2 linked regions of the Arabidopsis thaliana genome follow. The protein of the gene in region 2 interacts with the protein of the main gene of each other region in a biochemical or structural test. Each region holds a gene or a part of one and is shown on either strand. Other genes may lie near its edges.

What was found. Proteins that work in one complex are often made in the same cells at the same time.
Region 1: the proteins of TCP14 (region 2) and DAR2 form a complex in vitro, tested with the Arabidopsis thaliana proteins (one study listed by BioGRID).

Annotation. Positions count from the first base shown.
Region 1 is NC_003071.7:16,619,226-16,626,171, forward strand, and holds DAR2 (DA1-related protein 2), read right to left. Parts: upstream 4,926-6,946; 5' UTR 4,434-4,925; coding exon 4,343-4,433; intron 4,264-4,342; coding exon 4,082-4,263; intron 3,293-4,081; coding exon 3,205-3,292; intron 3,086-3,204; coding exon 2,968-3,085; intron 2,679-2,967; coding exon 2,558-2,678; intron 2,443-2,557; coding exon 2,359-2,442; intron 2,275-2,358; coding exon 2,155-2,274; intron 2,054-2,154; coding exon 1,841-2,053; intron 1,747-1,840; coding exon 1,684-1,746; intron 1,595-1,683; coding exon 1,479-1,594; intron 1,399-1,478; coding exon 1,331-1,398; coding exon of another isoform or gene 1,272-1,330; exon of another isoform or gene 1,057-1,271; coding exon 725-1,056; 3' UTR 518-724; downstream 1-517. Other genes in the region: eIF6B (Translation initiation factor IF6), read left to right, coding at 1-5, 110-367. UniProt on the Arabidopsis thaliana protein: Acts redundantly with DA1 and DAR1 to regulate endoreduplication during leaf development.
Region 2 is NC_003074.8:17,557,155-17,561,783, reverse strand, and holds TCP14 (TEOSINTE BRANCHED, cycloidea and PCF (TCP) 14), read right to left. Parts: upstream 2,992-4,629; 5' UTR 2,781-2,991; coding exon 1,311-2,780; 3' UTR 525-1,310; downstream 1-524. UniProt on the Arabidopsis thaliana protein: Transcription factor involved the regulation of plant development. Binds to the Up1 elements (5'-GGCCCAWW-3') in early light-induced proteins (ELIPs, e.g.

The DNA of each region.
Region 1 (6,946 bases), on a different chromosome or scaffold from region 2:
GAATGGTTAGTAGACAACTATATAAAAAACACCCATTCTTTTGGTTCGTCTTTGTTTTGTGGCATTTGTCTCACTAGAAAATCACCTGACTAGCTAATATGATGTACAGGTTCACTCAAATACCAACGTGGAAGAAATGGTCGAGCTAGCGAATCTTGTTCAGGTGCCTTTGGTTGCAGGAACCGTGAACCGTGGCAGCCAAGTTATATCCGCGGGTTTGACTGTGAACGATTGGACCGCTTTCTGTGGGTCAGATACTACTGCAGTAGAGCTCTCTGTTGTTAACAATATCTTCAAACTAGTCCAATCTCAGCCTGATTTCGTCGGTAGTGAAATGAGGAAGTCTTTGATCGATACCTATGTCTAACGCTTTCTTGTTTTCTTTTTTTACTGTTTATGCCAAAATGTGTTCAAGGAGCTGCTCTTTATGACTTGGTTTTAAGTAGTAATTTCTTCTTGTTCCAGTTTAAGATTTTGGAAACATATTGATTATCATTCATCAGCAATTTCTTTGGTCTTTCTTTGGAAATAAAGCCTTTTTTTTTGTTATTAGTATTCAGTCATTGTTCTTATAAAATCTCCAAGCAACAAATATCCCCATTCAAAATCCAAGGGGAGATAAAGTCTGTCTTGAGATTCTATTTAAAGTTAACACAAACGCTGTGTGATCCATCAAATCCAAATCAAGAACATATAGCAAGATGACACATAACATTAAATCTGATCACAAAGGAAAAGTTCCAGTTAAGCGGATATGATCGAGTGTTCGACGAAGACCGTACTTACAAGCCGCTGCATTTGCTGCCCTGAAACCTCCTCCATAAGCTGGAGACGCATCATGAGCTATCTGATGTTTAAAGAACTCTCCAAGTTTCTTCTCCACGTTTGATTTTCCTCCTTTCTTGTTCGAGAAGGATGATGATGATGATGTGGCCACCGATGATGTTGAAGGCAAGTTTCTTGTTGAAGGATCTGAGAGAACTTCAGATTCAAGCCACATGTAAGAGAGGACTTGGCAGATTCCTTCCTCTACCTCAGGGTTAAGGTTCCTAAACCCTAATAGAAACAAGAAATCAAAAGAATTTAAGATGCTGATAGTTATAGTTAACAAAACAGATGTAGCATATAACACAAAATCATATTAATGTTAACTAACAAAAAAAAAAAACGAACAACCGTAAACCTAGTTTTCCCCTCCTCCTACTTTTCGTGTAAGACAAGAAAGTGATTGAAAATTACTTTATACTAAGGTGACCACTTAGGTTTTGATATTAAATAATGACTCTTAACAGATTGATTAATACATGTGTGACCTCCAAATAAATCTTACAGTATGTACCATTAAGCCTTAGCCATCCATGCATGAGCTCATGGGCGAGAATTGCTCCGGTCAGTAATCTTCATCCACAAAAGTGATTAGGTTAGTAGTCATTTACTGTCGAAAAGGGAATTTGAGAATTGAGTGAGTAGTGTAGTACCGCGGGAGCCCGTAAAGAACTAGAATCGCTGTGACTTCACATTTGCGTGTAAGCCTTTGAGGCTGAGTTCTCATACCAACAAGACGGTGAGCACCAAGTCTCGGTCTTCTAAGAACCTGTGAAGAACCAAAAAATAAAAAACAGAGCAAAATAAAATTACTGTTTAGAATCAAAATTTCAAGTAACTTTCCAGGAAGAGACATACACTTGTAACTGTTTGTTCTTCAGACAAGCATAAACCTCTTGTCTCAGGCATGTGATGGTATCCCTGTGAAACATACAGATATATCTAGGATTAACTCTTATTGTATTCTGAGAGAAACTATAACAAAAATGGTTATGTATAAGCTAAAAGATATTACGTTTTTCTCTCCTACGATAGCATCATTGAGAGCTTCTCTTTGAACAAGAAGCATAGGAATCTGTTGATCAAGTTTCATGTACATTCCTTCGTAATAGTCTCTTATAGCGTGGTAAAGCGGTTGACATTCTCCAGTATCGGTTATCGCGGTTTCCATACATTCTAAACACAAACTTCTCCCATCCTCTAACGTGTAATATCTCACATCCCATGACTACATGATCACAACATAGAAAGAAAAAAACACAATTAATTTGCTAAAAAAGAATAGATATGGACTTATCATCAATAGTTAAATTATTTGTATTTGATTACCTCCAAACGTTCGCAGCTACAACAACGAGCAGTTTTATCATATTCGTGAGACGGGCAATACTTTTGGTTCCAAAACGGATGGCATCGATACTCGATCAAGCCAGCATCATTAGTTGGTATCTGAGGAGAGAATATGGAATTGGAACTAATATAAAAATATATGATGTTTAAAAAAAATTTCAAGGTGATTGTAACGTTGCTTACAAAATGGTGACAAACTTCGCATTTGGGATGAGTAAGCTCTTTGAAACAAAGCTTATGATAGGGTTTGGTTCCTGACAGAGAGAACTTGAATCAAGAGAGAAGACAAAACACACAACCTTAGTCACTTCAGAAGGACATTAACACAAATTAAGAGTATATTGATTATTATATATATATATATGTGTGCATATATGTATACCTCATGCTCAGTGATAGCATAACCACAAGAATGGCAACGGAAGCATTCAGGATGAAAGAATGTGCCCATGCATCCTAGATAGTTCCCCGATCCAATATCGCTATTGCAACCGCCACATATTCTGCTAAAAATCACGTAAACCACGTTACCAATGTGCACTTGGAAATGGCTGCAAAATAAATTATATTCTCTACGATAGTTGATCATGAAATCAAGTTTCAAGAAATGAAAATATTAAGTTTGTTTCCATAATTTGCAATGTCACGATTAAAAGTTCGAACCAAGGTTTATTTGGAAATTCGTGACGTAGGTATTTTTGAAATAATGCTACAATAAACAGCTTATTTTTATTTTACTTTTGATAGGAATATTTTTTTTTTGTTTCACTATGAGAATGTGTTTTGTTGTACCTTTGTCTTCGTCTATATTGATAGGAAGGCTCATAAGGTGGAATGAAAGATGATGGATTCAAGCCACCGTGAAAAGGCCTTGGAAAATCTCGGTTGTTATCCATAGACCAACCATACCCTGCACGATTTATTTCATAATTAAAATTCATTCTCTAATGCAATAGAAATAACGTTTTTAACCAACTTCAATTTTTTTTGCTAACAAATACTTTAATTCATGAAAGTAGATAGAAATACCATGTGGGCGCTTCGTGTTGTCAGCTAGAGAAAGTGAAATTGAACGGTCGAGTTCTTCTTTGTCCCGTGCACCTCTTGACCGATCATCCTGTGATTCGTTTATTCGTTGACATGACCATTAAAAAAATATTGAAATGGCATCAAGAAAATAGTTGATGAAACAAATTAGCATATTTCAGATAAAAATAATTTTCCACCACCATGCATAAGGGTATCAAAACAGGTTGACAAAAAAAAAAAGGTATCAAAATAGGCCACCTCAGTTTATCTATTTCATTCATGGATTAAAATTATATTCCTAACCACAATGAGCTAGGTAGTTCATTTTAACTTTTAAAAGTTGAAATATTTTGATTATACAGAATTAAGAAATAAATCTTAATAAACAATCAAATTAAAGCATATAATAATATAGTAATTATGTAACTTTGGAATCTAATCGAATAATACATGAAAATGAATCGAAAATATCTCAACTTCGGCCACTAATAAATACTCCTTATTGAACCAACCTTATAAACCATTTTCTACCTATTTTTGTTATCCCTAATAGTGCTCAAGGCCACATTGTCACATCATCTCAATTTGAGCATCAAAACCCAACGAGACTCATGACAACAATAAAATACAAAATGGACCGACTCATTCAAAGATGTGACAATTTTACAGAATGTACATGACCCATGTTATTTGTTTCAAACAACTCGAGCAAAAAAAAAAAAAGTAAAACAGTAGTGTATGTTCACATGTCTTCTGTATATTGCTTTTAATATGAAAAATCACATGTCTATAGTATTTGTGTGTAGATTAAAATAGAAATATTTTTTCAAAGAAAAGATGTTTCAAATTAAACGAGTATAATTAAGAAAATAATTACCAAAGAAGAAGGAGGTAGAGGAAAGACCATATTCTCGTCTTCTTGAAACTGAGGAGGATGATGATTAGTGTGAGCACCACTACCACCACCATTCGAGCCACTCTTGAAAAGTTTACTCACCCATTTCATCAACTTCCATTTCTTATCTCTATACGTTGACGAAGATGACGACCCAACTTCCCCTGTAATCATCAAAACGTTAGGTTTACGCTTTTAATATTTAGTCTCAAGAATAGAATTTGGTAAGAAAAGAAAACACACCGAAGATGCAAGGATTGGAGATATGGCTGACACGAGCAACACCGTAGGAAGAAGAAGGAGAAGAAGAAGAGGAAGAGGAAGAAGAATCCATGAGGATGGAAAAATGGCCCCCACGTGATTAAATATACTTGAAAACGTGTGAGTAAAGCGAAAACGACGGCCGGAGAGAGAAGCAAAGAAGAGAAGAGGAGGAGGAAGAAGAAGGAAGAGGGGAGAAGAAGAAGAAGTTATAAGTCATTACAATTTGTTATTAGAGAATGAAAACATAAATGAAAAGAGAAGAAAGAAAGAGAGAATCTTTGCAGAAGAGATCGGGCAAAAAAAAATTAAAAGAGAAAAAGAAAAGGAAGAGATGCTTAGCTTCTGAAAGGAAAGGAACAGAGAGAAAGAGATGTTTTTTTAAGAGAATATTTTTGTCTTTTTGGTTTTTGCTGAGGCGGAAGAATCCTTCAAGCAACGGTGTGGGGAGGAGGAAGATAGTTGAAACCTTTTAAGCTTCTCTCTTTTTACACTTTATTTTTTTTTTTTTTGTTGGGGAGAAAAACCAAAAAGTTAGATTTGTAAACGAAAGCAAAAAAAAATTCTTCTTTTTGGGTTTTGATGGAGACGCTCGTTCCATCGGCTCTAACTATTTGCCTTTAAACTTTGGTTTTGTTAAATTTTCCTTGTTTTTGTTTTTATGGTCTCATACCCTCACCGAGTTTTTAATGAATCTATAGCTACATTGAAGATATGTCATTTTATTTTTTAACTAAAACTTTAGTTTCAAAATTTGTATGATTCTTGTAATTGTTTTTGGGTTTCAAATATCCGACTCATGAATCCATGAGAAGTAGTATAACAATGTTTGCACTATACATAATATGGGCGTATTAACAAAGGTCATACTCTAATACACGATAAAGATGCGCTTTTGCAACGTTACCACAGACAACTTTATAATGGGAATTAAGCTTTTATGACATTACAAACGACGGACCAATAATAATATTGTTATTTATAATTTGAGGCATCAATCTATAGGAAGGTCGTGACCGGTGATGACGCAGCAAAGGTGAAAGAGAGGCTTCAAAGTGGAATCAGACACCCAATTTTTACAGAACAAAAGCCTAACCTATTGTCATGTTTAAGTTCTTTCTTTCGATTAAATTACCTTTTTTTTGGGATCAAATTAATATTTTGGGTTAAAGACAGCATCAGATCAAATCTAGCTTTTTTCAGCAACAGTTTCCACCTTGAGATCTGACCATTTCTTTATCAACTTGCTAAAGTCGATCTCTGTATGGACGATCCATAACTTATTTTCTATTAAGGCTGCTTGTTTTTGGGAATTCTCATTTAAAGAAAATGCTTATCTTTTCTTTTTTCTTGTCAAGTTATATATTTTATCTTAAGTATCTATACCCCCAAAGATGTTTACTTATTTTTCATCATGAAAATGTTAAAACATTTTAAGCATTTGCGTTAGTTTCCTATTACATCATTATATTCCTCAGTTAATCTTACAATTTTTTTTGTGAATGTAATTAATCTTACAATTTAAAATGTCTGAACAAATGTATTTGTTCTAGACTTCTAGTTCAACAAGTATTTATTTCTTGTTAAGAATGACTTTTTAAACGATCAATCTTTTTTTATTTTTGGTAACATAAAAACGATCAATCTTATTGAAACTTTCCTACACATGGATCAAGTTGTATTAGTCTGATACAATTATTGTAACAAAATAAAGTATATATATATAGCGAAGAATTTAGCTGAGTTTGAGTAGCCGATGCAAAAATGCTGCATATGTCTTTATTCCTTTAATCACCTAAAATACAAGAATTTACTTTCTCTTATCTCATGCATGAGACATCTTATCCAAGTTGTTATAAATCTCTAACTTTGTATCTGTAAAGATTTTTGTAGTAAAAAGCCTTGAGAGATGAGAAACGTGGAATTGAGTTGGAAAGAATGACTCAAAACCTTTACAATATTCACCCAAAAAAAAAGAGAACTTTATGATCGTAAAGAAAAGAAAGGAAAAGAAAAGAGACGACTATTTTCCATTGCATTGATGGGCTCTTTCAAGCCTCAACATACGGATCATTCCGACTTAATCCGGTCCATAAAATTTGCATTTGCATGTTTAAACGATATTGACTTTATGACTTTATCAACCAATGTAGGCCACCACTAGAGTACCGTACCTAGAGATGTTAATGATGGGTTAAAATCCACTGGTACCCAAAACACACATAAAATTTTAAGCTCATAGATCTATTTTTTCTGGAAATAAAACACAGGTTTAAAATGGGCTGGGTATCCAAATAAATAAAACACATATGGGTTTACCTCATTGGGTTATGGGTACCCACGATTTTTTTTAAAATCATTTTTCAAGTGAATCAACATTTTTTTGTCAAAAAAGATTTCACATTTTTTTCTCCTAAACCGCGATTTAACAGTTTACCACCAAAAAAAAAATCAACATTTTCCCGCCAAAAAAGACATTCAAAATTTTCCCGCCAAAAACGACAATCAACATTTTCCCGCCAAAACGCAATTCAACATTTTCGTGCCAAAAACGACATTCAACATTTTCCGCCAAAACGCAATTCA
Region 2 (4,629 bases):
AATTTATACATTCAATGATATATTATATAGTCTGCATTCACATTTATTTTTATTTGTTTTCTGTCTTCATCCTTTTTGTAAAAACTTATATTTAACCCATGCGAAAACAGATTTTTAAAACTTCAGATTATTTATCTTGATTCTTGAATATATGACCGATCGATGTTGAGTGAATATTTTCTTTCACAACATAATAATAGATTTTATAAAGTAAATTATGTTCTAATTAAACACTATCAATTTACAAATTGTTAATATTACTTTCTAAAGGCATACAAACACAAAAAGAATATACTGAAACAATCAAATATTTTTGGTGTACTTCGTCAAAAAAAAAGAAACAAAATTTTGAGCCATAACTTTGTACGCGACATTCAAACTATATCACTTTCTAATTAATTCTCATAGTCTAAACTAGTCTTGATATAATATTATCATCATATACAAAACCAGTTTTAACAATATCATGATATAATAGTATTAGATATCTCATCATATACAAAATCAGATTGATTGTTTAGTGGGGACAAACGACAAAGAAACAGAGATAAAATGAATCATATACTAAAAAAAGCATTTAATATATTTCATAGCATATAAGATCAAACGAGATATTTTTATGTTTTTTGTATCGTTTTCGTTCGACCATGTAAAACAAACGAGACACTTTGCTGTTTTCTATTAGCTTTGAAACAACTACTTCAAGGGCCAAATATAACAGAGATTGGTGGGCCAATAGAGAGAGGCCCATCTCATTCCTTGATAAAATAGTTTCTCAATTTTTTTTGTATTAACACTTAAAAAAACGTAATGTTACTAAAAAAACAGTAAGATTATACTTTGATGTATATGTTACTATTATTACTATAGGAACCAACATTGTTTGACGAATACTTTTTAGAATTTTTCTTTATGTATAATTAATTTCTTAATGGATAAAGAAAACGAAGATGATTGAGAATCGAGACGACAGTGACACTATCAGAAGAAGAAAAAAAACAATTAAAAACAATAATGATAAAAAAAAGTGTCATATTCTCCTCAAAATCCAAAAAACCTGACATAAAAAATCTCGTGTACTATTTAATCACTCACTCACAAGAAAAATCAAATTTAAAATCAAGTAAAAAAATCAAAATTAAAAAGAAAATCTCACGTGTTTTTTTTTTTTTTTTTACTTAGCAAAAAAAATTACTACAGAAAATAAAAAAAATTAACGGTGAAAACAAAAGTTTTACACAGCCGCCGAACGCCGTCACCGCTACCGCCGTCGGCAGAAAATCCCACCGTTAAAATGTTTTTGTGTGTGTCTAATCTTGCTGATCCTCCTCATCACCACCTCCAAGTGATCCACTAGCTTGAGAGTCGCCGGAAACTTGCCGTCCGTACTGGTTCAAGCCGGAGAGAATATTATGATGATGTTGTTGTTGATGATGATGATGTCTCTGTGTATTATGATGATCACCACCACCGTCACTTCTTCCTCCTTCATTATTATTACTATCTTCATTAATCTCATGATTACTAGTTGTTGCTAGCTGTTGTTGTCCAGTAAGAAATGCCATTGGCGCTGCGAAATTCATAAAATGTAAACCGCTAGAAACCGCGCCGCTTGGAACGCCCGAAACGCCACTTCTATATAACGCTGCCGCTGCCGTGTTAATGGAAGGAAACGTCCAAACAGGCTCTCCACCGCCGCCACCAGTACCAATAGAAGCTGTCATAAGACCACCTGTTTGGTTGTTATTACCACCACCACCACCTGCAGCCGCAGCCGCCGCAACCATCCAGAAATTTCCCGGTATTTGTTGCGCGGCGGCTGCGGTGGCTGTAGATCCACTGTTGCTAGATTGAAGTGTATATCCTCCGATTTGATCATGTTGGTGTTGTTGTTGTTGTTGATGCAAATCCGACGTCGTTTGGATTCTTCTTTTCTTCTCCGAGTTTAACTCTTCAGAATCTTGATCTCCTTCTTGCTTTGTTGGATTATGAAAGTTCAAAAACGACGTCGTTGGTGTGAAGTTATCAATACCAGGAAACAAAGACGACGTAGGTGCACGTCCCTGTAGATGGGGATGATGAAACCCAACACCACCACCACGTTGTTGTTGTTGTTGTTGTTGAAGCATCGCCGGAGAAAATATGTTATTAGGGCTAAAAGTGGAAGCGGCGGAGCGGAAATGAGAAGGAAGAGACATGGAAGAGCCTGAAGAACGGAGAGAGATGTTTAAAGAAGTGAAATTCGCCGGGATTGTTCCGGTTCCGGTGGCGGCGATTACAGATGGTTCAGCTTGTTGAAGAAGCCACTCTATTGTCTCACCGTCGGATTTATGACCTAGCTCTCGCGTTAGCTGAAAAACCCTAGCTGCACATAACGCCGGCATCCTTATTCTCCTCCCTCTTCCGTCTACTTTCGTGTGTCGGTCTTTCGTCGACGCTCGTTTCAACGGTGGCTTTTTAGCTGCCACCACCGCAGATTCCTCTTGCGTTTGTAATAACTCTTTTTGCGTTGTCTGCGGTTGTGACTTTTGCGATTGCGATTGAGGTTGCGATTGAGATAATTGTTGGTGTTGATGGAGAGAAAATAGAGAGGAGGAGGAGGAAGGGGAAGGTTGTTGTTGATGGTTGTCGTCGGGGTCGTGTTTTCCGAGTAGTTGAAAAGGGAAAGTAGGGCGGTGGTGATGGTGGAGGTGACGGTGGTGATCATCTCCTCCTCCTCCTCCGACGCTGTCTCCACCGTCCATTATGACATTTAAGATACTTGATGTTGGCTTTTGCATATATAAGTGGGGAGCTATAACTATTTTATATATATTTTATAAATTAGGGTTTTTGGTTTTTTATTTATATGTGATGTTTTCGACAAGAGGGGAAAAAAAATAAAGTGTATAAGTCTGAAGGAATTGATTGAGAAAGAGAGGATAAGAAAGAGAGAGACAATGGAGAAGAAAAGCTTAAAGAAACAAAGATCATGAGTGAGAATTATATGGGTGAGCTTTACATAACATTAAAAAATTAAAAGAAAAATCTCATTACATATCTTTTTTTTTTCAAATGAAAATACTGTTCATTGCTTCTTTATGAAAATTACTTAAAATCATATACTTAGAGAAATGTCAACAATGGGAATATCATTTAATAGTTGAAGAAAAGAAAGTGTCATTTAATCAACGCAAAAATGAATTGATGTAATTAGCCAATGTGAATATTTCAACGTTAATTTCTGCTCAATCAAAATCAGTCTGTTATAGTTAACTTAATCCGAATTATATCAAATTATTTTTCACGTTAATTATTTTCTCAGATAAGCATTTAGTCAACTTTTTAAAACAGTAAAAAAAAAAAAAGGTTTAAACAAAATAAATCTGTCCATAATCAAAAGATTTCGGTATATCTTTCATTATATTCTTTTCTCGATGTAGATTTACTCATCAATCAAATGAAAAAAAAAACACCCACCGTAAAAAAGGGCTACAATATTCACCGTACAACGAAAATACTTTTCACGACTAGTTAAAAATGGAAAAATCTGAACGTTGCGTTAATAAATGAGATGAAAAAATGTACAATGTGGAGTCTTTAATATATAGTAAATGTAAGAAAAATATGTCATATATGTGAAGGGGATATGGTTGGAGAGAGTCGTTGTGGCAGCAGAGTCCACGTGAGGTGTCCTCTTTTATCATTCATTCCATAAAGACAATGGAGAGGTCGACGAGAGAGTGATGGGGCCAACACTCCTCTCCAAATTAAACAACTCAATTTGGTCAAAAATTTAGTAATTTATTTCAAAACGTTTTGGGTCCTACATCATTCACGTAATCATTCTTCCCCTGCTACTTTTGCCGGAAACTAGAAACATTATCATTGTTATTCACAATTTTAAACCCAAGCATTATTCGTTTTTATTTAATCAGATAGCAAATCTCTATACAAAAAAAGTGAAGAACTATGGTATGTAACACCACTGCCCAAAAGTTGATTTATGTATGTTATCAAATAAATAGGGTTTTTCAAAAAAAAAAGAAAAAACTAAAAGTATGAATAAAATGAGACTTTTAGCATTTTAACCAACCTCTCTGTTTTTCTATTATAAATGTCTATTTTTGTTTTTTCAAAGTAAAAGAACTACTTATTAAGGCTTTGAAATATTGTAAACTAAACTCTATTAATAATACATATGGAAACTATGACTATTTTGATAAAAATAAAAATATATGATCATAGATGTCATATATATAAATATATATATATATGTTAATGAATGTATTTGATGAAGAATTTTTGTAAATAACATATGATATGTGATATGTGTTATTATTCGAAGAAATGATATAGTTTAATATTACGTACACATATTACAAACTGTTTCGACGTATTACATATTTGTTGTTTAAATAAGCACCATAAACGTATATTTAAAATAAAGAAGCAAAAGTTTCAACAACAATTAAGATTATAAAAAGAGCATAAAGAATCGAAAGTATGGTAGAGTAAATGTGGATGATGATGATAGCTTTGGGATTCCCTCTCTTGTTATAAAATATAAAACTTTGATAAATATGCATGATTATATATGATGATGGTACTTGCTTTCGTTTCGTCTATTGGGGTCTTAATTAAATGCTT